Linked DNA regions of Oryctolagus cuniculus. The main gene of each other region encodes a partner of the protein of the gene in region 7 in a complex. Links are inferred from orthologs where the notes say so. Each region holds a gene or a part of one and is shown on either strand. Other genes may lie near its edges. The genes, in order: GEMIN2, LSM4, STRAP, CRIPT, CWC22, SART1 and SNRPD2.

Region 1 (3,590 bases), on a different chromosome or scaffold from region 7:
GGCAGAACCCAAAGGCCTGGGTTACTGCTATATTACATCTTGTCTGCCTACTTCCTTTATCTGAGGACAACAATGCCATTTTATTTAAGTTGCTAGTATTTTCCACTTTCTTGTTATGTGGCCAATTCTAATTGCAACTAACAAAATATGCCAAAGGTCTCCCTTCTATTGGAATTTTTCACCACTATAAAAACTGCTGGATGCTTTCAATTTGGAAAAGTGAGGTGAAACTTACCACTAAGAGCCTCACTTCAGAGCACCTTCTTGCAAGCTGCCGAATCAATGAGTGAGCCTCAGGTAATAAAGGTTTTTCAAGACAAGCCAATAAAGCATAAAGCCATCTTCCCTAAATAGGATTAAAAAAAAAACTATTAAATCACAAGTTTAAATATTCTAAGCTGTGCCTGGTTATCTTCCATGAATAAATTCATACAACTCATTACTGTGTTACATTTAGACCCTCAGATACACTCTTTCACAAATATCTTTAGCTGTGAAACACTGCTGGTTTCTAAAAACTAAATCTTTCAAAGATGATAAAATTTATTAAAATTAGAAAGAACAAACAGGTAATTCATTTAAAAATATTCATCAAATTAACCCAACTTTTAAGGCCAAAAAAAAATGAGTTGTGAATATAAAGCAATAAAGTAAACACAGTGTAGCATAGTTCTAACAGTGTAGAAATAGAGCCAGACTGCCCTGACTTGAGTCTGAATTCTGCCAATTACAAGCTGTATTATGTTAATTGAGTATTGTGGATAATAACAGTTAATAAATTGTTGAGGGCCCAATGAATTATTATATGTAAGGTTCTTAGAATAATGTCTAGCATGTAGTACTTGCTGTTGTTGTTACTTCTGATCCTTTTGTGGACTGATTTCAAGGTCATTTTAGAAAATGCATTCTAAACTTTAACCAGTGCCACTGGAAGTGGGGTTTGCAGACTTGTTGCCAGCCTGTGAGCACACTGTTACTGCTCAGCACTGAGATAAGTAGTTTGTACCAGGATATAAATTAACTCTTTGGTTGACATTTGTCCTCTTCCCCCTCCCTGCCAAAGGAAGACTTTGTCAACGAAGGAAGCAGTATGTTGATTTACACCCTGGTGTAGGTTCCTTATTGCACCACAAACAAGCATAGTTCAGATTACACGTATACTGTCATGTATCACTTAAGGACAGGGCCACATTCTGAGAAATACATTATCAGGCTATCATGTCATTATGCATACACATAGCAAGTACTTACACAAACTAAGACCAGGCTATATAATCTTAGAGGACCACTACTGTAGATGAAGCCCTCCTTGCCCAAAAACATCATGGTGTGGCACAAGGCTAGTAACACATTTGAGTATACACACACACACACACAAATACCATACAGTCACACCTCATGTATCCTATGAAAATAAAACTGAATTATGAAAATAAAAAGATAACACTACCAATTCTGGAGTAAAGTCTCTTTCTCCAAACCAATTACTCAGATATTCCAAGACACTAGTTACTGTTGCCTAAAAAGAAGGGGGGGGGGGGATAGTGGCACAGAACAGTTATAATATTAGTAATAAATACTGACAAATTCAATAGGAGTTTCACTAAATTTAGTTAGAAAGCAACATTTAAGATTGTCTCATTCTTTAGATTTCCAAAGAAAACTGACTCATTAATAAGAGTCACCTCTGGGAATAGGCTTTCTTTTTTCCAAAAAAACCAAAGAAACCTTTTATTTAAGGAATACAAACTTCAGAATTTCTTAAGTACAAATTTAGGAATACAGTAATTCTTCCCATCATACCTGCCCTCCCTCCTACCCACACTCCCACCCCTCTTCTTCTTCCCTCTCCCATTCCCAGTCCCATTCTCCACTAAGATGCATACCCTCCAATGGCCGCCACGGCCAGCGCGCTGCAGCTGGCGCACCGTGCTGATCCGAAGCCAGGAGCCAGGTGCTTCTCCTGGTCTCCCATGGGGTGCAGGGCCCAAGCACTTGGGCCATCCTCCACTGCACTCCCGGGCCACAACAGAGAGCTGGCCTGGAAGAGGGGCAACCGGGACAGAATCCGGCGCCCCGACCGGGACTAGAACCCGGTGTGCCAGTGCCACAAGGCGGAGGATTAGCCTACTGAGCTACAGCACCGGCCCTAAGATGCATTTTCAATCAACTTTATACACAGAAGATCAACTCTATACTAAGTAAAGAGTTCAACAATTTGCACACACACACACAAAACTGTTTCTCAACACTTGAGACAAGGGCTGTTCAAGGTCATTATATCTCGAAGTTAATTTTACCTTTTTTTTTTTTTTTGAGAAAATTAAGTTTAAAGAAGCATTCAAGAATGATACATCTTTTGGGAGCAATTAGACATAACTATAACTTATGAGACATAAGACCTCCACTTAATAAAAGAAAATAAGTCCTTGAGAACAAATTTTATCATTAGTTAAGGAAGCACCTAAGAAAACAAGCAAAGGAGTTGGACACTTAGGCAGATGTAAAACTTATGAGACTTAAAAATATCATTCACTTAATACACTAAAACAAAATAAATCTTTGAGAACAAGTTTCACTGTTAACTATGATAACACAACTCTTTGGAGGACAGAGGTCTTGCATGGGAAGTTAGTGCACAATGACTCCTGTTGTTAATTTAACAATTAACACTCTTATGTATGATGTCAGTGACCACCTGAGGCTCTTGACAAGTGCTGTCTAAGGTATGTAAGCCTTCTGAATTCACAAACTCCGTCAGAACTGTATGGACTTATTTTCTTTTACTGTATAAATCAAGGTCTTATAAGTTATAGGTATGTCTAATTGCTCACAAAAGATGTATCGTTCTTGGTGCTTCTTTAAAGTTAATTAAGTCAGAATTTGTTAAAATTTAGACAAGGCCATAAGCAAAGTGGAAGTTCTCTCCTCCCTGCAGAAAAAAGTACATCCTTCTTTGATGACCACCACTTCTACTGGAGTTTCACCCACAGAAGTCCTTCATGTAGGACATTTTTTGCCATAGTGTCTTGGCTTTCCATGCCTGAAATGATCTCCATGGGCTTTTCAGGTAGACCAGAATGCTTTAAGGGCTGATTCTGAGGTCAGAGTGCTACTTAAAGCAATTGTCATTCTATCAGTCTGCTTTATGAACTGATGCCCATGTTGGAGCATTGACTCCTTTTTAATTCTATTATTACAGAAATGTAATCCAGACACTTACTCCTATTTATATGAATGCTTTAACACTTAAAATGCTATTTTTACCATCCAGCTTAAGGGGATTTGGGGTGGGAATAGGCTTCTAAGACAAATATTCCTATACTTTCAAATATCAATGAATGCCTTGATTAAAATACTAGGATTTAGTTTGTAACTACTAATATAATTTAAAACTATTTGAAAAACTTGACAAACTCTTCAAAAAAAGAGTCTTTACCTTTAGTCCATTTCTCAATTCAAAACAAAGTACAAATCTGAAGAAACAAATCTAGAAAGACCTGTTTTACAGCTATACAGGTAGAATTTATCAAACTCTTGAAAAAACATCCTGTGGCTTATTCAAATATGGCTTACCAAAAAACCTACAC
Region 2 (4,257 bases), on a different chromosome or scaffold from region 7:
CAAGCCCACACCCGCCGGTTCCGCCGTCGGGAGAAGCCCGGGGCTGGATCCCGCGTGGGGCGGGTCCCAAAGGCAGCAGGTGGACCTGCAAGACCCGGATGGAGCCTGGCCCGGACCTACCGCCAGCTCCCTGCGCATGCGCACCCTGGGCGGCCGCAGGTGGACCTGCGAGACCCAGCGTGAGCCTGGCCCGGACCGGCCGTCTGGGGAGGAACCAGCGGGCAGAAGCTCTCCCCCCAACCCCCCTCCGTCATTTGACAGGCAGAGCCCCTACCCGCCGCCTCCCAGGTGCCTTGGCGGCATCAGAGCAGAGCCGGGGCTCGAACCAGGGGACTCGAACCAGCGTCGAACCAGCTTACGCCGGCCGGGCCTCTGCCGCAGCAGACCCTGGGTTTCAGCGCCCCAGGCCCCCGCGTAGGAGGGGCCGGGCCTGTGCGCTCCCGCTCCCGGCGCCCGGAGACTCCAGAGAGGGGCAGGCTCTGCCCTGGGCGGGGCCGCGGGGCCTGCGGGGGAGGGGGCTTGAAAGCTAAGGTTATCTGGGGGCAAAAATAAAAAAGCAGAATCCACAAACTCTCTCCTGTGTGCTTTCTCTTCACACCTTTTATTCTTTAAAAACTTTATTTTTGTTTATTTGCAAGACACAGGGACGGGGGAGAATCTTCCACTAGGTGAGGTCAAAGCCAGGAGCTGGGAACTCCTTCCGGGTCGCCGGGGGCCCAAGCAGTGAGCCACGGCTGCTGCTGGCCAGCGTCCGCGTGCGCAGTCCAGCAGGGCCGGGGCTTGAACCCGGGTGCTGAGATGTGGATGGAACCGGGACTTGAACCCAGGGCGCTCGGATATGGCCTGGGCCGGGGCCGGGTTTCGAACCCGGGTGCTCAGATGTGGCCAGGGCCGGGACTCGAACCCGGGCCCTTGGATGTGGCAGGGGCCGGGGCTCGAACCCGGGCCCTTGGATGTGGCAGGGGCCGGGGCTCGAACCCGGGCCCTGGGATGTGGCCGGGGCCGGGACTCGAACCCAGTAAACTAGGATCTGGTCCGCGGGCGTCCTCAAATCCGGGCCACACGCTCACCTGGGGAACCGATCTCTCGAGTCCGCAAACACCTGACGTCACATTGACGTCACCTGCTAGTTCGGGGACTGCGCTGCGCCAGCATCGCTAAGGGCCGCCGGTTCGAGTCCCGGCCGCCCCACTTCCAACCAAGCACAAGAACGAGACCGAGACGCAAACCCGGCGCCATCACGGCCCGGCCCACACCGCGGAGCCCGGGCGACAGGACCGGCTCCTCTCTGCGCATGCGCAGCTACCCACAATGCAGCCGGCGCGCGCTGCTCCGCCCCCTTTTGCATCACTCGCCACGGCACTTTACGGCTCCGTCGCGGATTCTTCTGGCGGGAAGTTAGTCCCACCCCCTCGTGCTTCGAAGACCCGCCCTTCTGTCCGGGGATTGGTTATGCGTCCCCGTCGCCCCGCGGTGACTGGCTCCCGCTCCTGCCACTCCTTTTCAGGCTTGTGGCGCGCGGCGGGGCGGCGACCGGCGGCAGCGTGATCGGCGGCGGCGGCGGCGGAAGTGGCCGGGGAGCCCGGTCCCCGCCGACACCATGGTGAGGGCCGGGCGCCGTCGGGGTCTGACCGGGAGGCGGGGTGCGGCTGGGGGTGGGCACGCGGCCGTCGGCGGCCTTCGGGTTGGGCCGTGGGGGTCGGGGCGGTGCGCTCCGGACGTGCGGGCGCAGCGTCCAGTCCCGCCCCCAGCCCCGAGCCGGGGAAACTGACCCGAGACGGCAGGTGCCTCGCCCGGGGCACCAGTACGTTGTTCTCCGAGGTTCACGGCTGGGCCGCCGTTAATCAAGGCTCAGCAGGTCAGCTGCGCGCTGTCCACTTTCCAGACGGGGAAACTGAGGCCGGAGGGGGCGGGGACCCCGCCGTCGGGCACTGTGGCTCGTGGGTGCCGCTGGGGGCTTCCGGCCCAGGGCAGGGTCCCCAAAGCGGGGCCGTGCGTTTCTCAGAGCCGGGGCCCGGTGGCCGGCGCCCGCTGCACGCCTGACGGCGGGGCTGGCCACCACGGCTGGCGGGCACTGCCCCTGGGAGTCCCCAGCTTCCGCCTGCTGCCGAGTTTCCTGGCCCAGGGGTGCAGGAGTCCTGTGGTCAGGGCGGGGCCTGGGGTGGGGGCGCCCACGGAGGGTCGCCCCGAGTTAGGAGCCCTTGGGTGTCGTCTTTGTCTTTGGTTTTTACGCACTGGAAAGAGAGGGAAAGGCAGGTGCAGAAAAGCCCCAGACGGCTCGGGGCTGGGGCAGAGCCAGGCCAGGAGCTGCACCCGGGTCTCCCACGCAGGTGCCGGCCCCCCCAGGCGCTCCGTCCGGGTCTCCCACGCAGGTGCACGGCCCCAAGGAGCTCCGTCCGCGTCTCCCACGCAGGTGCAGGGCCCCAAGGAGCTCCATCCGGGTCTCCCGCGCAGGTGCAGGGCCCCAAGGAGCTCCGTCCGGGTCTCCCACGCAGGTGCAGGGGCCCGAGCGCTTGGGCCATCTTCCACTGTTTTCCCAGGCGCGTTAGCGGCGAGCTGGGCGGGAAGTGGAGCAGCCGGGACTCGGGATGGGCGCGGGTGTCCCTAGCCGGTCTGCGGGGAAGCGAAGCGCCCTGGGCTGCGCCTGCCCCTCCGCGCGGGCGCTCCTAGTTCCTCCCCTTGGACCTGTGGCTCCCGCTCCTCCCTTTCCTTGGCGGCCGCCGGGCCCGGGGTGGTGCTGCCTTAACCTCCTGCAAATATTTACCCTGGCCCCCGCGCCCGCGCGCCCTCCCGCGGGGGCAGCCTCCACGCCCACTGCGGGTTTTCCAGTCTAGCCGGGGAGACAGGTAATAAACACACGCGATAATTAGACGCCGGCTGCAGCCTATAATGAAATAAACAGCCGCGCGCCCCAGGGTGCCCATTAGCTGGGCCTGGCCCAGGGAGGTGACAGGGGGCGGAGGGAGGCGGCCCCGGGGCTGTGGCTGCCACCTGCCGGGGTCACGGGCCGGGGCGAGCGCCCAGGTGCCTGTGGCGGGGAGAGAAGCCCCACCCCCAGCCAGCGTGAGGCCCTGTGTCCCTGCGCCCCAGCGTGGCTGGCGACACACGGCATCCAGATGACAAGCAGGGGCCGCCCCGCCCCCACCGCCGCCCCCTCTCCACGTGGCCCCTTCTTCCTCCTGAGCCCGGCCTCCAGGAAGCCGGGGCAGGAAGTGGGCTTGGGCCTGGCTTCCTGCTGCCCCCGGCCTCCCCTCCCCCAGGGGCGCTGCTGGGGAGGGCCCGCGGCGGGGGGGGGGTCTCCTCCTAGCTCACGCAGGAGGCTGGGGGGCGCAGGCCATCGCCCACTGGCGGAGCCGCCTTGCGTGGGGCGGGGGTTCCTGCCGGTTGGAGCAGACTCAGGTCCTCTGACGCCCGCGCGGCCCCTGGCAGACCCGGAGGGGGTCCCTCCTGGACAGGTCACGCCCACCCCACCCTGGCCCGGTGACCGGAGCACTGGGTCATCTTCAGCTGTGCCCCGCGCAGGAGCTGCGTCAGAGCCGGGGCTCAGCTCCACAGCGCCCCCAGCTGTCCGCCCGCCGGCTCCCCTGGGGCGGGGGGCTGCCCTGGGACGGACGCGGTCCCTGCGCTTCCGCACACAGGCCAGGGCCCCAGACCATGGCAGGGGGTGGCCCAGGAGCCCCCCGCAGGCGCAGCATCCCGGGAGCACCGGCTCCCTGCGGAGGGCCTGGGAGGCAGCGGGGAGGGGAGGGCCCCGCGCTGGGCCCCCGCCCCCACCGCCCACGCGGGAGACCCGGATGGAGGCCCTGGCTTCGGCCCGGCCTTTAGTTGTTTGAAAGGCAGAGATACGGGCGCCCTGCAGGCCCCAGGCTCCTCCGTGAACTTTCTGAATGCGGTCATATCTGCACCTCAGCTGGGCTCATCCAGCCAGGCGCGTGATTTATTTACTTTATGGGAGGGAGAGAGGTCCCACGTGCGCAGTCACTCCCCAGAGCCCGGAGCGCCATCCCGGGGCTCCCAGCCAGGGCGCGCATGCGCGGGGAGCTGAGCGGGCCCTACCCGGGGGCCCCCAGCCTGGGACGCAGCCGCCCTGACCAGGACGCCCAGCGCACACCCCTGTAAATCCGCGCGGTTATTGGTAAAAATGAGCAGAGCGGGCCTTGCGTAGACCTGAAGTCTTGGCGCGGCCTATGGGCCCTGCGTGGAGCCGTCCCCGCTCGGCCCGGGCCTGCGTGTGTTCTGGAATGTTCTCTCTGCACA
Region 3 (3,590 bases), on a different chromosome or scaffold from region 7:
AATAAAACTCTCCAAGTTAGATTCTTAAAGGCATCCCTGTAAGATGCTATAGTGCCCTTCTCCACTATTCTCTGTACAGAATCTTAGGGATTCTGAACTTAGCAAAAAGGAATGGTGGCCAGCTCACTGGGCCACGCACACCATACTTTGGAAAAAATAAATTTCCCTGTGTCTATTTAATACATAAGTTTGACATAAGATTCTCCCCTCCCCATAAAGCCTGAAAATCACTACACAATATTACAGAACATGATAAGGATGAATTTCAGCTAAAAGAAAAAGACAACATTAAATTCAGCATATTTTGCTTATAGATCTATAAAAGTTCCTATCTAAAATGGATAAATACTTCTCACTTCTAAACATCAAGGTTTAGTTGGATGAAAAATATGCTTCCAACATGGTATATACATAAATGAAACATTAATTTTTGGAACTCAGCATTTGATAAAAGGAAAAAGGGAGGATAACTTACCTAACTCTTCCCCACTATTATAATCATACTTATAAAGTTTAAAATCTTCACCACCTGCAACAAGAAATTCTTTCTCAGGATGAAGAGATGCAGAATTGATGGTTGCAGGAGCTTCAAAGGATTTAATTGGGTCCAAACTGGAAAAAAATTTAAATAATATTTACAAATTCTGAGTAAATAATGTAAATGATTTTAGTTAAACTGTTCCTAAATTCTGACACAAGGACCAATTAAATATTCAAACACAAACAATGATGTTTAAAAAAAATACTAAATAAGGGTTGGCATTGTGGCAAATGGTTCAGGCTATTGCTTGCAACAGCTTAACAGGTTGAGTTCCAGCTGCTCTGCTTCAGCTTCCTGCAAACACACCCAAGAAGGCATCAGAAGATCTTCCAAGTACTCAGGCTCCTACGGGCAGTGACCCGGATCGAGTTCCTGGCTCTTGACTTCAGCCTGGCCCAGAACTGGTTGCTATAGCCATTTGGGGAATGAGCCAGTCGCTGGAAAATCTCTTTGTCATTTTATACTTTACCACTCCTCCTCTGCCTTTCAAAAACAAAACAAGAAAAAACAAACCAAAAAACAAGACTTGATAATGTTATTAGCAAAAAAGGTGCCTAAGGATCCTGTGCCCACCTGGAATTCATCTCAGGAATATAAAGACATTTCAAGAGGGATACCCACATCTTGAGCAGCAGATACCATCCTGGAAATGAGTTTCTCTGCTAATTAAAACTGCATGGAAAATATTGGGATTTTTGCTTTAAAAAATTATATTCTGTATTGTTTTGATTTTTCTTCAACAGGCACACATTGCTTTTGTAAACAGATAAAGGTTTTACAGTAGGTAATGAATTACTCTAACATAAAGGATTATAGGTATGTTATTCTCAATTGTGAGGGTTTAAGCTTTTGCAACAAGAAAATGCTATAAATATGAACCTGTGAAAAACAGCTGTTGTTATTATCATGTAGTAAAAGAATGACTAAAATTTGAGGCCACAGTTACATATGAAAAAAATCAATGCATAGTAACAGCTTTAGCTGAAGAATCAATTAGTTTGGAGACTGGCTCTTTTTCAGTTCAACCCTGAAAATGATGAAAGGCCTCAAATACACAACATACCATTCAGGCCCTTAAAGTCACTCCTCTGTTCCCATCACCTCATAATATAAAGCATGAAAATTCAAGTAGCCATGACTTACTCAGGGTCACTTGTTGGCTCAACTGTTCAATAGGGGGTGGTTGTTGTGGAGCAGTAGGTTAAGCCACAGATTAGGTTACCTTCCCTTATTTCATTTCTGAGTGCCATTTCCAGTCCTGGAATCCCCATTTCCAATCCAGCTTCCTGCCACTGCATCCTAGGAGGCAGCAGGTGATAGCTTAAGTGCCTGGGCCCCTGCTACCCTTGCTGGAGACCCAGATGGAATACTGGACTCCCGGTTTCAGCCTAGCCCAAGTTTGGTTATTGTGGGTATTTGGGGAGTGAATCAGCAGATAGAAGGAAGATAGATCTCCCTTTCCTCCCCTACCAACCCCATTGTCACTTTCTCACTCTTGCTGTGCCTTAAAGTATATGAAAATAATTTTTTTAAAAAAAGAAAGTTATTCCATAGGTCAGCAAATCTCTGCCACTAAAATGGAACTTGGAGCAACATTCTCCAGTAGGACTGCATGTTGTACCGCTCCAAAAGAGAACAATATGGTTGTACAGTTTGATGTGGCTGGGATACAGCATTCTATTATCATCAATTCATGTGTGTGTGTACCTCCTTTACATTCTGAATTGCTTTACTCCAATTTTAATCCTTTCTTTTTCTCTTCCATTCAGTGAACCTTAGCACTGCAAATGGCACTGTAGACAAAATGTCAGAATTGCTGGTCTCATGTTGTATAATCCTTGTGGAAATCAACAAGTTATAAGTGACACATATAACTAAGAACTTTAGACTCATTCCTACCCTTGGAACTGATAATAGTACTTATAAGATTCTAAGGAAACACTGAGAAATAAGTACCTCAGTTACTGCAGGCTTAAAACAGTGCACTGGTAATTTATTGTAATTCACAATGCAATGTATCTAGCAAATCTGTTTTCCAAGATATATCTTAGAATATTTTTAAACAACAAGGCCTAATTACATTACGGCCTTCATTTAAAAACACACAAGCATAAATAAAACAAAAAAAATGGCAGAAAATACAGCCATTAGTAGTTTGGAATCTTCTTATAAGATTTTGAGTCAATTATTCTTAATTATATCATATTTTCCAAAATTTTTACAAGAGCACTTATTGTATTTCTAGTCACAAAACTTAAGTCTTTTTTTTTTTTAAAGATTTATTTTATTTATTTGAAAGACAGAGTTAGAGAGAGGGAGGGAGGGAGGGAGAGAAATCTTCCATCCTCTAGTTTACTCCCCAAATGTCCACAACAGCTGGGGTTGAGCCTCCAAATTTCCCACACAGGGGCCCGAGGACTTGGGCCATCTTCTGCTGGTTTTCCAGGCACATCAGCAGGCAGCTGGACTGAATTGGAGCAACTGGGAATAGAATTGGTGTCCATATGGGATGTCGGTGTTCCAGGTAGTGGCTTAACCTATGGCTTAACCTGTTATGCCACAATGCTGGCCCCGTTTTTTTTAAAAAGAGGTCTGTATATACTTGGGGATATGAAAAAAAAAAAAAAAACTATTTTTCTCTATTCAAGATAACCACAGTTTTACACAATAAACATTAATTATAAACATCAATCCAATGGTTCTTTTAAGAAAAACAATTTCAACATTTAATTGTACCAATAATTGACTTAAACACCTGGAATTTGATTAACTCCTCTGATTAAAGTATACCAAATTCTCATAAAAACACATTATGGCCCCCATCACCCAAAACAGAAAATGGAGGAATTTCCTAGACTTACCTTACTGCACTATGAAAAGCAATAGATCGTCCGTAAGTTATAACCAAGATCTCTCCTTCAGGAATATACTCCATACTACTAACAGACATATTAAAATTTAGAGATTTCACTTCCGTCATAGTAGCATGATCCCAAAGGCTGCGAAAAGAAAAGATCAAAATGTGGCAATATTTACTCATTTAATTTAC
Region 4 (4,098 bases), on a different chromosome or scaffold from region 7:
CAGCCTAGGCAACCAAAGAACTCAAAGAGCATTACCCTAAACTAAGGGATCCCTAGACTCTAGCATTTCCAAAATGACTAGGTCTGTTACAGGTGCTAGATTCCAATCAAGAATAAAACATGAATGGAGGCAGAAAAAATTTTACTGTCTCATGTATTTAGTTACCTGAGAGCTTATGCATTGTATTGGCAGTGTGGAGTACAGACTTTATTAAATAGTCAACGTGTTACACTGTGAATATTCCACCAAACAGAAACAGCCCTAAAAAATACATAAAAGCATATGTGGGTGGGGAGAGGATGGAGCTCACTGGCGAATAGCTCTTATTTGATTCCCGCGGTCATTTATCAAAGGCAAGTAGTTTACTGATTAAACAAGAAAAACAAGTCAGGAGACTTGTTCCAAGCTCCCCAGCGCTACAGACATAAAGGGACACACGAGGGATCCGGTAGAGAACGGGCGACAAGCAGGGACAAAGTTTCTCAGACTCTCAGCTGCCTGCGGGTCGGGTAGGGGGAACAGAAATCCATTCTCTCAACAGATCCCCCTTACTTTCTCTGGGCCACCCTCGGAATCCCAGCAGCAGAAGCCACACTCCAGCGCCTGCTCAAAGAACGAAGGAACCCGGGCAGGTGAAGCGCCTGCCCTTCTCGGCGGGCCCACGAGGACACCTGCCGGGCGCGCCTTCGCGGGGCCACCGCCACGGCGCCGGCGATCTCGGCCCGCCCACGCCGGCCAGCAGGGCGCCGGCGAGCCCTCCCGGGGCAGCCGCCGCCCGGGTCGCGGACTTCATCCGCAGCCCCACCCCACACCGGGTCACTGGGGCTCGGCCCGTCAGCCGGCGAAAGCTGAGGGACGCGGGCAGGAACGCGCCTGAGAAAGAGGAGCGGTCCAGCAGGGGAGCCCCTGGGTCACGCGGAAGGAGGCCCTCCGAGGGCCGGCGGGGGCGCGCAAGCTCGCGACCACTCGGGCAGTTGGCGGAGGCGCCTTCCACACCTCCCAGAGGAGAACGCAGCCAACGGGGCTTACCTAACTCTCCCGCCCGCGAAGGGAAAGGGAACTACTGCCTCCCACCATCAAGGCACAACGGGCTGCCCCAGCCCACGCGCAGGCGCAAGCGCGCGGGGCGGAGACCCACGGTCGCACAGCCAATCGCAGAAGGGGATGGGCGGACAAACGAGGCAGCCCCGCCTACCCGCTGGCGTTCATGCCTCCCGCGGCTTTCCAGGCGTAGGATTGGCGGGAGCGGAGGATTAGGGGCCGGAAGTAGATTGACGTAGCCCGGAAGGAAAATTCTTCCCAGGCTGTAGTGTTGATGTTTTCAAGCTGCGGCTGATTCTGGGGCGAGGAGGGCGAATCGTCGGCGGAAAGATGGTGTGCGAAAAATGTGAGTTAAGGGGCCGCTTGTGTGGGGAGAGGAGGCTGGGAGAACTTACTCGGACTCTCCTGGGAACTTGGTTTTTCCTTTTCCCACAGGTCTCTAAGTCTAGCCTGTGTTCTCCCACCCTTGCCCTGTGACCCTTCCTGCCCCTCATCGACTGTGTAATCCCGTATATTTTGTCATCAGAATGGCCTTAGTTCTGCACCTTTTTGCCCATTGCCGTCGCCGCCTTCTGGCTCTCGCCTCATCAGTTACGGCTTCTCGACCGCCTCCGTCAGGCTTAAAATGGACCTTAAAAGTCATTTCTGTAGCGTGTGGAGTTGCGAGATCTAGCAATTCCAGACCTCCAATTGAATTTTAATTTAAGATAAACAACGAATACTTTTTTTTAGTGCTGTAAGTATGCCCCATTCGGTTATTTAGGACGTGCCTTACTAAATTGGCTTCGTTGCTTATTCTGAATGCATCCCATCCTATGAAAGAAACAGTATCTGGGTGGGGGAGGCTGGAGACCCCCACGACCTACGAAGAAGTCTCTGCAAGGAGGCATTGCTGGCTTGAGGAAAGTATTTTCCTCTGTGGTTGCCACCCAGTGTTTTTAATTCAAACTCTTAAGATTTGTAGAAAATACACCCTGTGGACCTACCAAGCTGTTTATGTGTTTAAAAGCAGCTGTCAAGTTCCCAAATCCTCTCCCTCTGGCTCTTCTGTGACAAGAGTTCCACTCCTCTTAATCCTGATTATGGTCTAATGAACATGACCTGTGGGCATCCCCGTGGTAGATGGATACAGTCTGGACACACAGACCCATGGCAAAGCTGCGTGGTGTTCCCAGATTTCCCATCTGAAAATGAGAACGCAACATAAGCCTTGGGTTTTTTTGAGAATTACATGAAATGACATAGGTAATGCCTGGTACAAAGGTCCCTAGTGTGTCCTCTGTCATAACTCACTACTGCGTGACACAGAATTAAACTCTGCTCCATATGTGGGCCAGAGTGCAACTAATGCCTCCCTCCTTCTGGATACTACACCACATACCATTGTTGCCTTACATTAAGCTTTAAGAAAATAACCATTAAGACGTAATTCACATGCCATGCAATTCATGCACTTTAAGTGTACAATTCACTGGTTTTCAGTATATTCAGAGTTGTGCAGTGTGATCATAGGCTGACCTGTCCATCCCTTCAGAAAGTGCATGATCTTACTTGACACTGACTGTCTGTAACTCTGCTTCATCTTGTACTTGCAGTGGTTTTTGGACTTGTGTGTGTATTTGAGTAAGTTTGAATTAAATATCTTTATATTATGTGCTGGCCCAAATGTCTCATCTCTTAGGTGTGGTTCTTAAATCTCTAACTTTGGCCTCCCATGTAATTTGTGTTAGTCTGTCACTTGGGATGCTTGTATCCCAGATTAGAGTGTCTGGGTTTTGCATCCTTGGATGTGAGTCCCAGTTCCACTCCCAACCAGTGAATGGGAAACCACCTGCCTCCCCAACCTGCATTTCAAACAAATAAAATAAAATTTTTTTAAAAAAAATCTTGAATCTCAGTTCACTAGCCTCTACCCCAGCATTAACAGGCTCCCACTGTAATATGACTGTTGATGGCATTGGGAGCCTTGGCACCATGTGGTGTATTTATTAACTAGCAAGTTATAATGCCCCTTTTACTATTTTATCACAACAGGTGAAAAGAAACTTGGCACTGTTATCACTCCGGATACATGGAAGGATGGTGCAAGAAATACCACAGGTATTTTTTTTCTTTTGGAAAACAGAAATTGAATTAAATACCACCTGTGAATAATATATTTTTACATTTATTTGTAAAGTGAGATGTTGTATTCTCAGAGTATCTTGTCTATAAAGAATATACGGGGTCCCCCAGTGATTTAATGCCTTCTCTCTAGTTCTCCCAGTTACATGCACAGGTTCCTAACATAGTAAGCAGGAGATAGCAAACCTACTAAATATTTTCAAGTGATGAGTGTGTCATAGTGTAGAGTCCGAATTTAATTTCTCCTCTCCTCACCTAGTTTTTATCTTCTTTATAAAAAAAAAATTACTTAAGCTGTTTTCACCAGGAAGGAAACGAAAGTTGAACTGGACTCAGAGTCTGTGACACCAAAGTAGTAACTTCTAGATTTTATAGTGGATGGAGTAAATGTAGACTCACCCCTAAAGTACTGCTTGCTGTCTGAGTAAGAAAACTGCATCTCACATAAACGTCATTGTTTCCCTAATATTTTCTAAGTAGCATCTCAAAAACTTAGCTATTTCACGAGAATTTAAAAATTTTGATATAGGCTATTCTAATGGTGGGAGGTCAAAGGATGAACTTCTAACTGAATTAGTAGGTGTGATGTTAAGTATGTAGAAATAACTTACTGAAATATTTTGATACAGAAAGTGGTGGAAGAAAGCTGAATGAAAATAAAGCTTTGACTTCAAAAAAAGCAAGGTGGGTAAGAGCCTCTGTGGAGCCGTCGTGTAAGTTCCCACTCCTGAGACTAAGCATGCGGGAGTGAATTTACTGTTCATCATTGCATTGTGCTCAAAGCATGAGAGGTCCTGGCAGAGGGAGCCAGGGATCTGGTGTAACCTGCTGGTTAGCACTGTTCCTTCTCACTGTGTCAGCCTCTGGAGATACCAGTGCCACGGTCTCTATAATTGGACCAGAAGACATGAACTAGCAGATGGGGGATCTGGG
Region 5 (4,031 bases), on a different chromosome or scaffold from region 7:
AACCCTTAATCCTTCAACCATTAACATTGACCTGTTAATGGTTAACATAAGACTTTGAGGATCAAGTCCTCAACCTACAGACCTTTGGGGAACACACAAACTATCATCCAAACTGTAACAGTGGATAAGGCTAAGCAAAAGTCTTTGAACTTTCTCTCTTGGCCAAGAGAGCAATCAAAATCAGTGTCATATGTGAATAGTAGAGTTTAATGATACCCAGAATAGAAAAAAAAATTTTTTAAATGATATCCAGAAAAATGTCAAGGTTTTATGATAATGCCAACATAGCTCCAATTAATTTTGACGGTCTGATCTAAAGAAATCAACTGAATTAGGATAATTATTATAGACTATAGCAACTTCAACCAAGTATTAGCCCAATTGCAGTTGTATATCAAGCATTGCATCATTGATAAAACAGAATATAGGTGGGTACTGCTTTTACTCCTTACAAATCAGGAAATGGACACAGAATGTGAAGTAACTTACTCGAAGTCAATGATTCATGAATAAATCCATCGTTTAAGCATAAGTAGCCCAGCTCCATTTTGTTTTTTAATGCCTTTAATCTCTGCAACTAGGAAAGAGTTAGAAGCACAAATAACCTAAAATTGTAATGAAGTATTTGCAGAAACCAGTCCTGGTTTAAAAAAGCAAGAGAACTCCCCAAACAGTTAACAATTACTTGGACTTCTGGGTTTTGTGATTGCAAAAACGAAAGTTCAAGGAAATTGTTTGATTGAAGCCCTACCTCTGAACTCTGTATAAGACAGTTTCTAACTCAGCTGCGGAATCTCTTTATCTCGACAGTGTCTTGTCACCTGGTATCTTAGCCCAAAGAGAGACATCATCGTCTTCACAGAATTAGCTTCTCTCAGTCTATTAATGGGCTAATATTCTCTTGGAACTTAGTAGGCACTTAATCATTTAGTAACATTTTGCTTAATATGCTCTTGGTCAAACCAAAATGTCTGAGAGGATTTCTGTTTTTTAATATTTTCACGGAAACGTGACCACAGAGGACTACTTTTCTGCCAACCGCAGAGAAACAGTTTTGGATTATAATTAATCTTATCAAACCCTAATTACTCTCAGGTATTCTGTGAGCAGCCTGGAGGCAGTCGCAGATGCTTATATCCAAGAACTACAATTCCCATCGTCCACTGGGGCTTTCTCGCGCTAAAACTACAATTGCGGTTAGTCATTTCCGTCTGACGAGAGGGAGGATGCTGGTCTTTGTAGTTCGGGTCTACTTGCTTTTCGTTGCCGTGTTGGTAAGGAGACAGTATGATTAGATGCACTGCTTTCAATCTGGCGTTGTGATGTGGTGTTTAAGATAACCTAATAGGCAAAGCGCGTCAAACCCAAATGAGCGTCCGGTTTTTACGTACTTCACGCTCCGCCTTCCTCCTCTTGCCGGTGCCCGGGAAGGGGAAGTGACGTGCATCCGGTGTAATGGCGCCGCGGTGGAGCTCTAGGTAATTATCGAACTCGGTCGAGTCGTCCCGGGGAGGCAACTGCAGTGGGGGGTCGCGGGTTGTTGGACCGGGAGGGATAGTGAGGAGGTCTGTGGGCGGGGGGAGTATGCCGCCGGGTCCGGCTGTGGGCGGCCCCGGGAGCGCGTTGCCGTCCTCCCGCCACGCGCGGGCCCGCGAGGTTGGGCTAAGCGAGCGGGTTGGGCCGAGTCGCCCCGTCAGGTGGAGAGTGGGCAGCCGTGAGCTGGCTCTCCGCCTGCGCGGACGGACCTCAGGCTCATGAGGTTCCTGCGCCGTACCTTGGCCGTGTCTCAGTTGCTGGGTGACTGCATCCGAGCTGGTTCTTCCTCCCGCCGTGTGCAGTGTTTTGGGCGCGGGTCACTTCGAACCTCTCGAGTTAGGGGGCTTGCCCAGGCCCCTACCTAGTGCCCGGGTCCCAGGGACTCGGGAATAGGATTAATGAACTATAGTTCATTTAAGAGATAGCTAACTGACTTTAAAGCCTCTCGGCGGAGTACTATCCCTGTGACTCTCTTTGTAAAATTTCACTAGTGGTTTCTTTTTCATGTATTTGCCCTGCCATTTACTGATACTTACAGATGTTTAGTCCTGGGAACCCCTCCTTTTCCATTGTCTTCATCTATCATCTTTCGTCCTGCCGTTAGTTGAACCACTTCCAATAAGATTGACAACTCCTTAACTTGGTCCTCCGGTTCGTCACTCTCTGCTGAGCTCTGGAGTCCTACAATACACTTCAATGTAATGGTGATATGATAGTTAATTTTGCTTGGACTAACTGAAATAGCGTCTTTACCTGTATTTACTTAATCCTCCGTGCTTTGAGGGGAGTGAGAATGAGAAATTTGGGAAAAGGCTATTCTGGGTGTAGGAGTTGGGTGATTTAAATGTGATGAGTTTCCTTTGTGTTATGCGATATCAACAGACTAGAAATAGCAGATAAACGAACAAAGTTGGTCTTAAAAAAGATCAGTTAGCCTCCCTCTTCCCTATCTGCATTTAGATTTATTTAGGAACACAGGAGTTAACATCAGTTATCCTGTGGAAGGGCAGACTTAGGATTAGCGTTAAAAGTGCGGTTTTGGAAGCGTTGCTGCAGGCAGTTGTCTATAGGAGGAGGAAATGACTTGTGTGGGTGCTGGGTGATGGACTGGCAAGCCAGAGATTGCAGTCTTGCTTCAGTGATTATTAGATTTATCACTTGGGGCAAGTGTACTAACATCTTTAGTCTCAGAGTCCTTGTCTAAAGGTAATAATAGTTGTAATAATAACTGCCTGGCTCACTGGTTGAGTCTGAAGGCATTGCATGTCCGGCAGTGTGCTCCCGGGCTGGCCTCCGGTGTTTTAACATTGTTAATATATGATAGAGTTAATGAGTTTTCTCTGTTCCTTAGTGCTTGTTCTTTGCTTCTGAATGTTGCCACTTTTAAGTGCTCGTGTCACTTTTGTGGAATCTTTCCTAACTCATTGGAGTTCTGAGATTCTTTTACTGGTACTTTAGAGGCCAAAAAGCTTTTTCTATTACCCTGGCTTAGTGGTTCCTAAAATGTGGTTTTCCAAGTCGGCAGCACCGGTATCTCCTTGGAACTTGTTAGTCATGTAATAATTGTTGAATCAAAAACTGGGGCATGGGACCCATCTGTATGTTTTTTACCAGACCATAAAAAAGCTAATGCCTTAGAGATATGCTGTGGTTCCCCAAATCAGGTTGCCTGCCCTCTTTGTTCCAAATTATTTGATTCGTGGCCAACCAGTTTCCCATCATTATTATTTCACCACATCCTTCCCTGCTTTGGGTAGTTTGGCTTACTCACTTTTGCAATTCTGATGCTTCCTAGACTACTTAACTACTTTTATAAAACACCTTTCTTTGTTAGTTTTCTCATTTGCTGAATTGTTAGAGATTATCTCATAATTTTGCATTGCCAAATGACCTACAGTGGTTTGTATTTGACATCACTTCAACAAAGGAGACAGTGGCACTTTATGTGTCTGTAGTACCCTTTATGTGCCTATACTATGCCTTAACTTGAACGGTAGTTGCTATTTATTGCCATCTTGTATGTAGACTGAATTTTGCTCTACCTGGTTTATCCCTAACTTAGTCATGACTATCCTAGAGCTATTCTAAGTAAGAAAAAAGGGGCTATTGGTAATATATATATATATGATTCCACCTATGTTTTGGAGGGCTTCCTTGTTGAATTTCCCTTTCTGTTAAAGTCTGACAGTTCTGCCATTGGAGGGTAATGGGACAATAAGGCCTGCTGGTTTCCTACTGCAAGCATTTCTCAAGTGAACATTGAAAAGAGACATTTCGAGGCTTTCAACAAAGTACACTCTCAAAGCATTTTCTTTAAAAAGAGAACTTCAGGAGAAGAAGCAGTACATTAAAGCAGACCTTTGCTACTGTAGCCAGGCTAGCAAGACTTCCCAGTGAGCAGACACCAGAAAGGGACTATGGGCTGCTTAGGCCTGGGGACACATCAAGAGCTCCTGTAATTGAAGAATAGCTGGCTAAAGAGAGAGTGGGACTGT
Region 6 (4,218 bases), on a different chromosome or scaffold from region 7:
GGGACCCTAGGCCTGGCTGCCCCAACCAGTGAGCGCCACCTCCCTCTGGCCCTTGGGTGACCCCACACTCTCCCAGCAGTCAGCTCGGGCAGAGAGCCCCTGCCCGCCCGGGGGGAGAGCCCTTGCCCACCCTGGGGGAGCCCCTGCCCGCCCTGGGAGAGAGCCCCTGCCCGCCCGGGGGGAGAGCCCTTGCCCACCCTGGGAGAGAGCCCCCTGCCCGCCCTGGGAGAGAGCCCCTGCCCGACCTGGGAGAGAGCCCCTGCCCGCCCTGGGAGGGAGCCCCTGCCCGCCCTGGGAGAGAGCCCCTGCCCACCCTGGGAGAGAGCCCCTGCCCACCCTGGGGGAGCCCCTGCCCGCCCTGGGAGAGAGCCCCTGCCCACCCTGGGAGAGAGCCCCCTGCCCGCCCAGGGGCACCCCTGCCTGCCCAGAGAGAGCCCCTGCCCGCCCTGGGAGGGAGCCCCTGCCCGCCCTGGGAGAGAGCCCCTGCCCGCCCTAGGGGAGCCCCTGCCCGCCCTGGGAGAGAGCCCCCTGCCCGCCCAGGGAGAGAGCCCCTGCCCACCCTGGGAGAGCCCCTGCCCGCCCTGGGAGAGAGCCCCTGCCCGCCCTGGGAGAGAGCCCCTGCCCACCCTGGGAGAGAGCCCCTGCCCACCCTGGGAGAGAGCCCCCTGCCCGCCCTGGGAGAGAGCCCCTGCCCGCCCTGGGAGAGCCCCTGCCCGCCCTGGGAGAGATCCCCCTGCCCGCCCTGGGAGAGAGCCCCTGCCCACCCTGGGAGAGCCCCTGCCCGCCCTGGGAGAGCCCCTGCCTGCCCAGGGGGAGCCCCCTGCCCGCCCTGGGAGAGAGCCCCTGCCCACCCAGGAGGAGAGCCCCTGCCCGCCCTGGGAGAGAGCCCCCTGCCCGCCCGGGGGCACCCCTGCCTGCCCAGAGAGAGCCCCTGCCCGCCCTGAGAGCGAGCCCCTGCCCACCCTGGGAGAGAGCCCCTGCCCGCCCTAGGGGAGCCCCTGCCCGCCCTGGGAGAGAGCCCCCTGCCCGCCCAGGGAGAGAGCCCCTGCCCACCCTGGGAGAGCCCCTGCCCGCCCTGAGAGAGAGCCCCTGCCCGCCCTGGGAGAGAGCCCCTGCCCGCCCAGGGGGAGAGCCCCTGCCCACCCTGGGGGGGAGCCCCTGCCCGCCCAGGGCTGCGGCAGACGCAGGGCTCTCACTTGGTCTCCTCGATGCTGAGAGATGAGGCATCTCCGGAGCTGGTTTTGGAGCCGGCAGCTGGAACGACAAGCGGCGGGGCTCAGGGGCTGTGGGGCTGCGGGGCTGCGGGGCTCGGGGGCTGCCGGGCCAAGGAGCCGGCCCCGCTAGCTCGGACGTGCCCCAGGGTCTATCAGCCGGCAGAAGGCAGCGGCCCGGCGGGCTCCCAGAGCTCTGCTCCTACGTCCCCTCCTCACCCAAGACGGCCACGTCCTGCCTCCCTCCCTCCCTCTGCCCTCTCTGCTTCTCTATCCCCTGTGCCCCTGCCCCTGCCCCGGCCACATCGTAACCGAGGGCAAGACCAACCAGCCCTGACGCTGCGGCACGGGCAGTCATGTCGGGGTCTGGCCGCCCCCACGGGGCGGGGGTGGTGCCGCAACGCGGCCGTGTCCCGGGTGCCACCCAGGCGGTCAGGAGCAAACAGTGTCTGTTCTGCGCTGCATGTGGGGCTCAGGCGCAAAGCATTTGGGGCCTCCTCCAGCCCCAGGTGAACCCCGGAGAGGAGGGAGCTGGGCACCGTGAGCCGGCCCTCCCCGCACCCCCCACCCTCCCCCTCTACCCCACAGCTGCCTCCTGCACCCCGGCCCCCGCCTCGTGTCACCCCCTCCTCCTAGCACACTCTCGCCCCACGCACCCCGACACGAGCCTTCCGGGTGTCCCCGACCCTTGGGCGACTCATCTCCTCTGTGGCATCTTCCTGGGCCCGCTACTAAAACCCCAGCACTCCCCAAGCCCTGGCCCCGCCGCTGGCCACACCCTCGCAGGGGGCTTCCGGGGCTTCCTAGACCCTCTCGGTGCCCCCACGCACTCTCAGAGCCCAGGGCATCACCCCCTGCCCGCCTCTGTCACCCTCCCCCAACCACCGGGTCCCGGTACTCCCTCCTCGCAGGGGCAGCTTCCCTCCCCCGCCAGCCCTCCTGCCGACCTCTGGCCACGACCTCATGCCTCACTGCCTGGGGTCTCCACCACGAACCCCACGCGCGCCGCGCGCCAGCGAGCCACCTGCTGAGACCGCACGCTTCCGTCCACCCAACACGGAACCCCGCAAAACGAGAACCTGCGTGCTCACGGGGCTGAGCGGACAAAGCCGAGCCCAGGCCCGAATGGCCGGTCGGGGGCTCTGCTCACTGCTGAGCCCAGAGCCCCGGGCAGCACCGCGGACACTGCCGGGCTCCCGGGGCCCCGCCCCGCCCCTCACCGGCCTCGTAGCCGTCATCGCGCTTCTCCCGCTTCACGCGCCGCTCCGAGGGCTCGGCCTGGCTGCGATCCCGCCCGTGCGCACTGCTACGGGCCTCGGCCTCGGCCCCGCGCCGCCCGCTCCCGCGCTCGCTCCCGCGCTCCCGGCTCCGCTTCCGTCGTTCGCCGCCGCTGCTGCCGCCGCCTCCACTCCGGTGTTTGTGCTTCTTGTGCTCCCGATGGCGCGGCGGCTGCTCGGCGGCGCCCCCAGTGCTGGCCGCCGCCGTCGTCCCGGCGGCCTCCTTCTCCCCACGGTGCTTCTTTGACGACCCCATGGTGGTCCGTCCGCCTGGAGCCGGGCAGCCGCCGAGCCCCGACGACGCAAAATGGGAACACTTCCGGGTCGCACGGCAGCCGCTGTCCTGTTGCCGGAAACCAAGAGCGGCCGCTTCCGGCGTGCGCGTTGGCGCTTGCCCCGGAGGCTCATGGGAAGGCGGGGACGGGCTCGGATCCCGACGGGGCTCTGGCGGCCAGCCCTGGGCCGAGCGGCGCTCAGCTCGCTGGCTTTCCCGCTGCGCGCGCCCCTTACGGGCGCAGGATTAGCTTGGAGGAGACGGGATCGCAGAATGTTAGGGACCTAGAGGCCATCTAAGCCAGCGCCCCGGAGCTGGAAGCCCCTCAGGGCCGGCCCTGGGCAGGTGGTCCATTCCAGTGGACTCCGGGGATCTCGGCCCCATCGGGCAGCCCAGCCTCTGGGCGCTGTAAGCAGCGAGCGCTGCCTTTGCACGGGTCCCTGAGCTGAGCTGAGCTGGATTTTTTTTTTTTTTTTTTTTTTTTTTTTTTTTTTTTTGGACAGGCAGAGTTAGACAGTGAGAGAGAGACAGAGAGAAAGGTCTTCCTTCTGTTGGGTCACCCCTCAAATGGCCACTACGGCCAGCGTGCTGCGCCGATCCAAAGCCAGGAGCCAGGTGCTTCTCCTGGTCTCCCATGCGGGTGCAGGGCCCAAGCACTTGGGCCATCCTCCACTGCACTCCCGGGCCACAGCAGAGAGCTGGCCTGGAAGAGGAGCAACCGGGAGAGAATCTGGCACCCCGACCGAGACTAGAACCCGGGGTGCCGGTGCTGGCCTTGTTTTTGAACCTCTGCTGTGAGCTGCTCAGGGAAGTAGCCTTAAAGGCCGCGTCCGTTGTGCCCTGGTCACTCGTGAACTGGCCCCAGGACATATGGGGGAGATGGAATAGAGAGAAACGGCCATTGCTCTTCGAGACGTCCACTGGGGAGCAGGGCCAGGGCTGTGGGGACAGAGCCAATCCTTCCCACTGGCGGCTTCCCCACCACCACCACAGACCCCCACGCTGAGTTTGCCACAAAACCTTTAATTTTTATCTCGGGGACCGCTCGCCAGGTCCACGCTGGGGGTCAGGTGCCTGTCAGGCTGGCCTCCGGGGGGCTCCATCCTTGGGCTCTGCCTGCTCGTCTCCGCGGACCTGTGGCTCCTTAAAGACAGACAGCGGCCGCTGAGCACAGCTCCCACTCCCACGTGCGTCCCAGCCCGGCAGCCGTCCTGGCTTCCCGTGCGGCCCTGGGTGGACGACCGCCCCTCCTCAAGTCCCCGCTGGCTTGTGAAGTGGCCCACGGTCCCTGCCCTGAACCGTGTACGTGGGGTGACCCACGCGGCCCCCGCCCAGCCTGCCTTGGCCTCCTGTTTGCTGCTGTGTCCCTGGGCGAGGCCCTGCCCCTTGGGCCTCAGCGTGGCTGCCCTGGCCCCGCGGCCTCACCTGGGTTTCCGGGAGGCGCCCTCCGCATCGC
Region 7 (4,320 bases):
CGAGTCAGTGCCTGGCTCCTGCCCCTCCGCCGCTCCGGGACCCTTGGACAGGACCCCCGCTTCCCATGCCCCGCTGGGCTAGGTGTGTGTGGGGGTGGGGGCGGGTCAGCGCTGGGAGAGGAGACGGGGCCTCGTACCTTTCTGACTTGGAGACTGCCCGGAGTGCCCGGGGCTCGCACAACAAGCAGCGGTCGCAGGAAAGTGCCCCAGAGGCGCTGCAGGTCCAGCTGCCCCACCACCCTCCGCAGCCGGGCCTCCGGGAGACTTCCGGTCAGCGGCGTCTAAAGAAGAGAAGAATGAGCGCACTGCTCCCTCCCCCCAAAAGCCCGGGTGCCTCCGCGGCATGGGAGACTTCCAGGATCAAAGTCTCTCCAAGCCCACCCGGTTTAGCCTACCCCTCGATCGTGACATGGAAACCGAAGCCCAGCGAGGGGAAGGGAGGCTTCCAAGAGTTGCCTTTCGGGCGTGGAACCCAAAACCCTCATCCTGACGACTCCGGAGCCTTTCTTTCCAGGGGGCGCGTTGGGAGGGGGCTTGCGCTCCGGGGAGGCAGCCGGTGGCACCTGCGGCCAGGGCCCCAGGTAGCGCCACGTCAAACCGAAACTCGGAAAGAGGAAGCGGGGAGAGAGGGCCCTCCAGTGCCCGCGCCGCGCCCAGCCTCACCCGCGGCAGCTCCTCGGTCCTGCGGTGCCAGCTGCCCCACAGCGTGTAGAGGGCCGAGCCCACGGCCAGCGCCAGCAGCAGCACGGGCAGCAGCTGCGCCCGCGGGAGCAGGCGGCGCTTGAGCGGCGAGCTCGGCTCCATCAGGCCGCGCTCCCCGAGCCGGGGCCGGGGCCGCCCGCGGCCCCCGGGACGCATGGCAGCTTTGCCCTGAAACCGGCCAGGGACCGCGGATGGAGTTCAGGCCCAGCCAAGTCCCACCCCATGGAATCACAAAGCCAATGAGCGACAAGAGCGCCGGGCACCACCCCGGCCCGGCGAGCCGGGTGCAGCTCCCGAGGACAAGCCTCCCCGGAGGCCCGGGGTGTCGCGATTGGCTCCCAGAGGGGTTGCACAACCCCCAGAGGGGACGCGAAGGCGTGCGGCCCGCCCCGGCGGAGCGGGTAAAGCCAATGGGCAGCGCCCGGCCGCGGAAAGGGATTGGTTCCGCGGGACGGGAAGATCCAGCGAGGCGTCAGGCCCCGAAGCCGGGACCGGATTGGCTTCGTGGAGGCCGCGCCCCCGGAGACGGGGCTGGCGGGCATTTAGAAACCTCTGGCCGTTTCCCTCCTGCAGCCTGTCCCGCCTCTACCACGAAGCGGCGCGACTCGGACTCTCTGTCTTGGTCTCTCCATCCCGATGAACACCTGCCCGCTGTGGTCCTTAAAGGCCTCGAACTGCCGCTCGCGGCTTCGGCCCCCTCGCTGCGCAGCCGGCGGGGGTCGCTATGGCAACAAGCCACGCCCCAGCCCGCCGGGTGGGTTTGCGCAGGCGCCCACGGAAGTGGCCCGCCGGAAGCGGAAGTCCCGCCCCTCTCGCGCTCCATCCGCAGAGGCAGAAGCAACGCGGAGGAGGTTGGAGTGAGAGTGACCCGAACGCGGGGCCGGCACCATGTGAGGCCGGGCTGGGCTTAAGCGGCGGGCGTGAGGTTGTGGGTGCGAATGCGGCCGATTAGCGGCGGAAGGGGGCGGCAGCGCCGGGGGCGGAGCAGAGCTCTCGGGCGAATTTTCTGTAATGAGCGTGGGACCGGCCCCCGGGGCCTCTGGCGGACCCTGAGTCCGCGAGGGCCGCCAGCTCTGTGAGAGAACGGGCAGCGGCTCCTCCGCGTCATCAGCTCGCTGGAGTGAAGGTTAAGAAGCGGCTTCTCGAGTTACAGAAGCCGGGGAGCGGGCGCGGGCTTTTAGGCATAGCGATTGGGGGCGAGGGGCTTGGAACGTGAGCTGGGGCCGGGGGCCGTGGCTGCTCGGCCTGATTCGCAACGACGCCGCGGCTGGGGCTGCAGGCTCAGCCGGGGGCCCTGGGAGGGTTCCGAAGAGGCTGCCGTGAGTTAGGCTTGCGCACGGCCCCCAGGCTGCCCCTGGGTGCAGGTAGCCCTGGCACGGAGGTCGGATTCTGCAGCCGGCCGGGGGGAGGGGTACGGCCGGCAGACGCATTGATTCGGCCCTGCCGAGCGGGACTACGGCAGGCTGGTTTTTAAGCCGGCGCCCGAGTGCTGTTCTGAACACCGAGGCTGGCCAGCCCCGAGTGGCCGGGCAGGCCTTTCTCCTGTGACTGTTGCCCGGGCTCCACGGGGTCGCAGCACAGTCAGGTCCCGTTACGCTGTAACCTGGAGATGACTTAGCGAGCGGGAGGTGTGCGCAGGGTGTGTGTGTGTGCGTCCCCGCCATCCCACCTAAGGGATCCGAGCCGCTGAGGCTTCCGGGACCCGGGCAACGCGGATCCTGGGACCAGCCCCCTGTGGATGCCGAGGGACAAGCGTCCGATTGTGGGGCAGTGGGCGTCAGACGCCAGGGGGAGGAAGGTGGGGGCGCCGTAGAGCAAGTCCTGACAGTGGCTGCTGTCCGAGTTGCCGTGGGAGACGAAAGAGGAGTGGACGTCCGCTTCTGCCCGGCCAATGAGAAGGGCGGACTTACCCCCCAGGGAGTGGTGTGCCCTGGGTGCAGCAGGCTGGGGAGGGGGCCTAGCGGGAGCTGAGCCGGGGCGGGCGGGGTTGGGGATGGCTGGTGGCTTCCAGGTGCTGATGCCTAGAGACCAGGCCGGCAGGGCTGGGGGGCGGCCCCGGCTCCTCCCCTCACCCGCGGGTCCCTCCTCCCCCGTCAGGAGCCTCCTCAACAAGCCCAAGAGCGAGATGACCCCCGAGGAGCTGCAGAAGCGGGAGGAGGAGGAGTTCAACACGGGCCCGCTCTCCGTGCTCACGCAGTCGGTCAAGAACAACACGCAGGTGCTCATCAACTGCCGCAACAACAAGAAGCTGCTGGGCCGCGTGAAGGCCTTCGACAGGTGCGCGGCCGGGGGCGGGGCCTGGCCCGGGAGGGAGGGGCCTGCGGGCGGGGCTCCTCCGAGGCCGCGCCTCCCGCCCTGCCCTGCGGTGGGCGCCAGCCGGCCCCTGCTGTGCTGTCCCTCTGAGCGGCCAGGCGACCCTCAGCGCGTGCCGTTATCTTGTCCGCACAGTGGCAGGCAGTCGTCGCGGTGGATACAGAGATGCGGTGACTTAACACGCATGAAGTGCCTGGCCACAGGACACCTTTTGGTTCATTCATTGAAAGAGAAGCGGAGAGACGGAGAGAGCTCCCACCTGCTGGGCACTCCCCGGATGTCCACAGTGGGGCCAGAGCCGGGGGTAGCACGCAGGCAGGCTTTTAATATTTTATTTATTTTGAGAGGTAGAGTTATGGATAGAGACACAGAGAGGTCTTCCATCCGCTGGTTCACTGAGCTGAGCTGACCAGGAGCCAGGAGCTTCTCCTGGTCTACCACGTGGATGCAGGGGCCCAAGCACTTGGGCCATCTTTTGCTTTCCCAGGCCACAGCAGAGAGCTGGATCGAAGAGGAGCAGCCGGGCCTCGAACCGGCACCCTTGTGGGATGCTGGCGCTGCAGGCCAGGGCGTCAGCCCACCAACCACAGCGCCGCCCCCGTGTGTTCTGTGGTGTCTCACTCACGCACTCACCGTGCCCCTGGCCGTCCTTTGTGGTGCCCACAGCCTTGCAGAGGTGCCCCTGGCAGGGCTCGGTCCTGCAGGAGAACCTTCCAGGCGCTCTCCTGCCGCCCGGTTCTGCTGGTCCTGGCCTGAGAACACTGCGGCCAGCGGGCTGTTGCCTGCCCCCTCAGCCCCTCCCACCCGCGACTGAATGCGCAGTGTGTGCAGGTGGGGCGGGTTCATTCAAACAGGCACCTGATGACGGGCGATCTCCTTCCTGCGCCCTCCCTCCAGGGACCGCCCCCCTGGTGGTCACAGATCCGCAGGAGTGTGGTGTGACTGAAACATCACATGTGTTGGAAGATGGGGGCTTCTTAGCCTTTTTTTTTTTTTTTTTTTTTTTTTTGACAGGCAGAGTGGACAGTGAGAGAGAGAGACAGAGAGAAAGGTCTTCCTTTTGCCGTTGGTTCACCCTCCAATGGCCGCCGCGGTCGGCGCGCTGCTGATCCGATGCCAGGAGCCAGGTGCTTTTCCTGATCTCCCATGGGGTGCAGGGCCCAAGCACCTGGGCCATCCTCCACTGCACTCCCTGGCCACAGCAGAGAGCTGGCCTGGAAGAGGGGCAACCGGGACAGAATCCGGCGCCCCGACCGGGACTAGAACCCGGTGTGCCGGCGCCGCTAGGCGGAGGATTAGCCTAGT

The links.
Region 1: SNRPD2 (region 7) and GEMIN2 share a complex: the UniProt entries of both Homo sapiens proteins name them as parts of the SMN-Sm complex. The link is inferred for Oryctolagus cuniculus from reciprocal best matches to the Homo sapiens genes SNRPD2 and GEMIN2.
Region 2: SNRPD2 (region 7) and LSM4 share a complex: the UniProt entries of both Homo sapiens proteins name them as parts of the U4/U6-U5 tri-snRNP complex. The link is inferred for Oryctolagus cuniculus from reciprocal best matches to the Homo sapiens genes SNRPD2 and LSM4.
Region 3: SNRPD2 (region 7) and STRAP share a complex: the UniProt entries of both Homo sapiens proteins name them as parts of the SMN-Sm complex. The link is inferred for Oryctolagus cuniculus from reciprocal best matches to the Homo sapiens genes SNRPD2 and STRAP.
Region 4: SNRPD2 (region 7) and CRIPT share a complex: the UniProt entries of both Homo sapiens proteins name them as parts of the minor spliceosome. The link is inferred for Oryctolagus cuniculus from reciprocal best matches to the Homo sapiens genes SNRPD2 and CRIPT.
Region 5: SNRPD2 (region 7) and CWC22 share a complex: the UniProt entries of both Homo sapiens proteins name them as parts of the minor spliceosome. The link is inferred for Oryctolagus cuniculus from reciprocal best matches to the Homo sapiens genes SNRPD2 and CWC22.
Region 6: SNRPD2 (region 7) and SART1 share a complex: the UniProt entries of both Homo sapiens proteins name them as parts of the U4/U6-U5 tri-snRNP complex. The link is inferred for Oryctolagus cuniculus from reciprocal best matches to the Homo sapiens genes SNRPD2 and SART1.

What each region holds. Positions count from the first base shown.
Region 1 is NC_091443.1:36,514,830-36,518,419, forward strand, and holds part of GEMIN2 (gem-associated protein 2), read right to left. Parts: intron 1,520-3,590; coding exon 1,451-1,519; intron 347-1,450; coding exon 236-346; intron 1-235. UniProt on the Homo sapiens protein: The SMN complex catalyzes the assembly of small nuclear ribonucleoproteins (snRNPs), the building blocks of the spliceosome, and thereby plays an important role in the splicing of cellular pre-mRNAs.
Region 2 is NC_091447.1:65,595,503-65,599,759, reverse strand, and holds the start of LSM4 (U6 snRNA-associated Sm-like protein LSm4), read left to right. Parts: upstream 1-1,447; 5' UTR 1,448-1,600; coding exon 1,601-1,603; intron 1,604-3,959; exon of another isoform or gene 3,960-4,135; intron 4,136-4,257. UniProt on the Homo sapiens protein: Plays a role in pre-mRNA splicing as component of the U4/U6-U5 tri-snRNP complex that is involved in spliceosome assembly, and as component of the precatalytic spliceosome (spliceosome B complex).
Region 3 is NC_091440.1:113,728,847-113,732,436, reverse strand, and holds part of STRAP (serine-threonine kinase receptor-associated protein), read right to left. Parts: intron 3,541-3,590; coding exon 3,403-3,540; intron 613-3,402; coding exon 476-612; intron 1-475. UniProt on the Homo sapiens protein: The SMN complex catalyzes the assembly of small nuclear ribonucleoproteins (snRNPs), the building blocks of the spliceosome, and thereby plays an important role in the splicing of cellular pre-mRNAs.
Region 4 is NC_091433.1:156,146,795-156,150,892, reverse strand, and holds the start of CRIPT (cysteine-rich PDZ-binding protein), read left to right. Parts: upstream 1-1,234; 5' UTR 1,235-1,371; coding exon 1,372-1,387; intron 1,388-3,075; coding exon 3,076-3,141; intron 3,142-3,794; coding exon 3,795-3,849; intron 3,850-4,098. Other genes in the region: PIGF (phosphatidylinositol-glycan biosynthesis class F protein), read right to left, coding at 166-181. UniProt on the Homo sapiens protein: As a component of the minor spliceosome, involved in the splicing of U12-type introns in pre-mRNAs. Involved in the cytoskeletal anchoring of DLG4 in excitatory synapses.
Region 5 is NC_091434.1:61,056,192-61,060,222, forward strand, and holds the start of CWC22 (pre-mRNA-splicing factor CWC22 homolog), read left to right. Parts: upstream 1-1,216; 5' UTR 1,217-1,478; exon of another isoform or gene 1,479-4,031. UniProt on the Homo sapiens protein: Required for pre-mRNA splicing as component of the spliceosome. As a component of the minor spliceosome, involved in the splicing of U12-type introns in pre-mRNAs. Promotes exon-junction complex (EJC) assembly.
Region 6 is NC_091432.1:5,822,218-5,826,435, forward strand, and holds the start of SART1 (U4/U6.U5 tri-snRNP-associated protein 1), read right to left. Parts: upstream 2,811-4,218; 5' UTR 2,745-2,810; coding exon 2,432-2,744; intron 1,255-2,431; coding exon 1,197-1,254; intron 1-1,196. Other genes in the region: TSGA10IP (testis-specific protein 10-interacting protein), read right to left, coding at 3,785-3,905, 4,188-4,218. UniProt on the Homo sapiens protein: Plays a role in mRNA splicing as a component of the U4/U6-U5 tri-snRNP, one of the building blocks of the spliceosome. May also bind to DNA.
Region 7 is NC_091449.1:11,275,386-11,279,705, forward strand, and holds the start of SNRPD2 (small nuclear ribonucleoprotein Sm D2), read left to right. Parts: upstream 1-1,442; 5' UTR 1,443-1,590; coding exon 1,591-1,592; exon of another isoform or gene 1,593-1,828; intron 1,829-2,799; coding exon 2,800-2,979; intron 2,980-4,320. Other genes in the region: QPCTL (glutaminyl-peptide cyclotransferase-like protein), read right to left, coding at 138-281, 664-858. UniProt on the Homo sapiens protein: Plays a role in pre-mRNA splicing as a core component of the spliceosomal U1, U2, U4 and U5 small nuclear ribonucleoproteins (snRNPs), the building blocks of the spliceosome.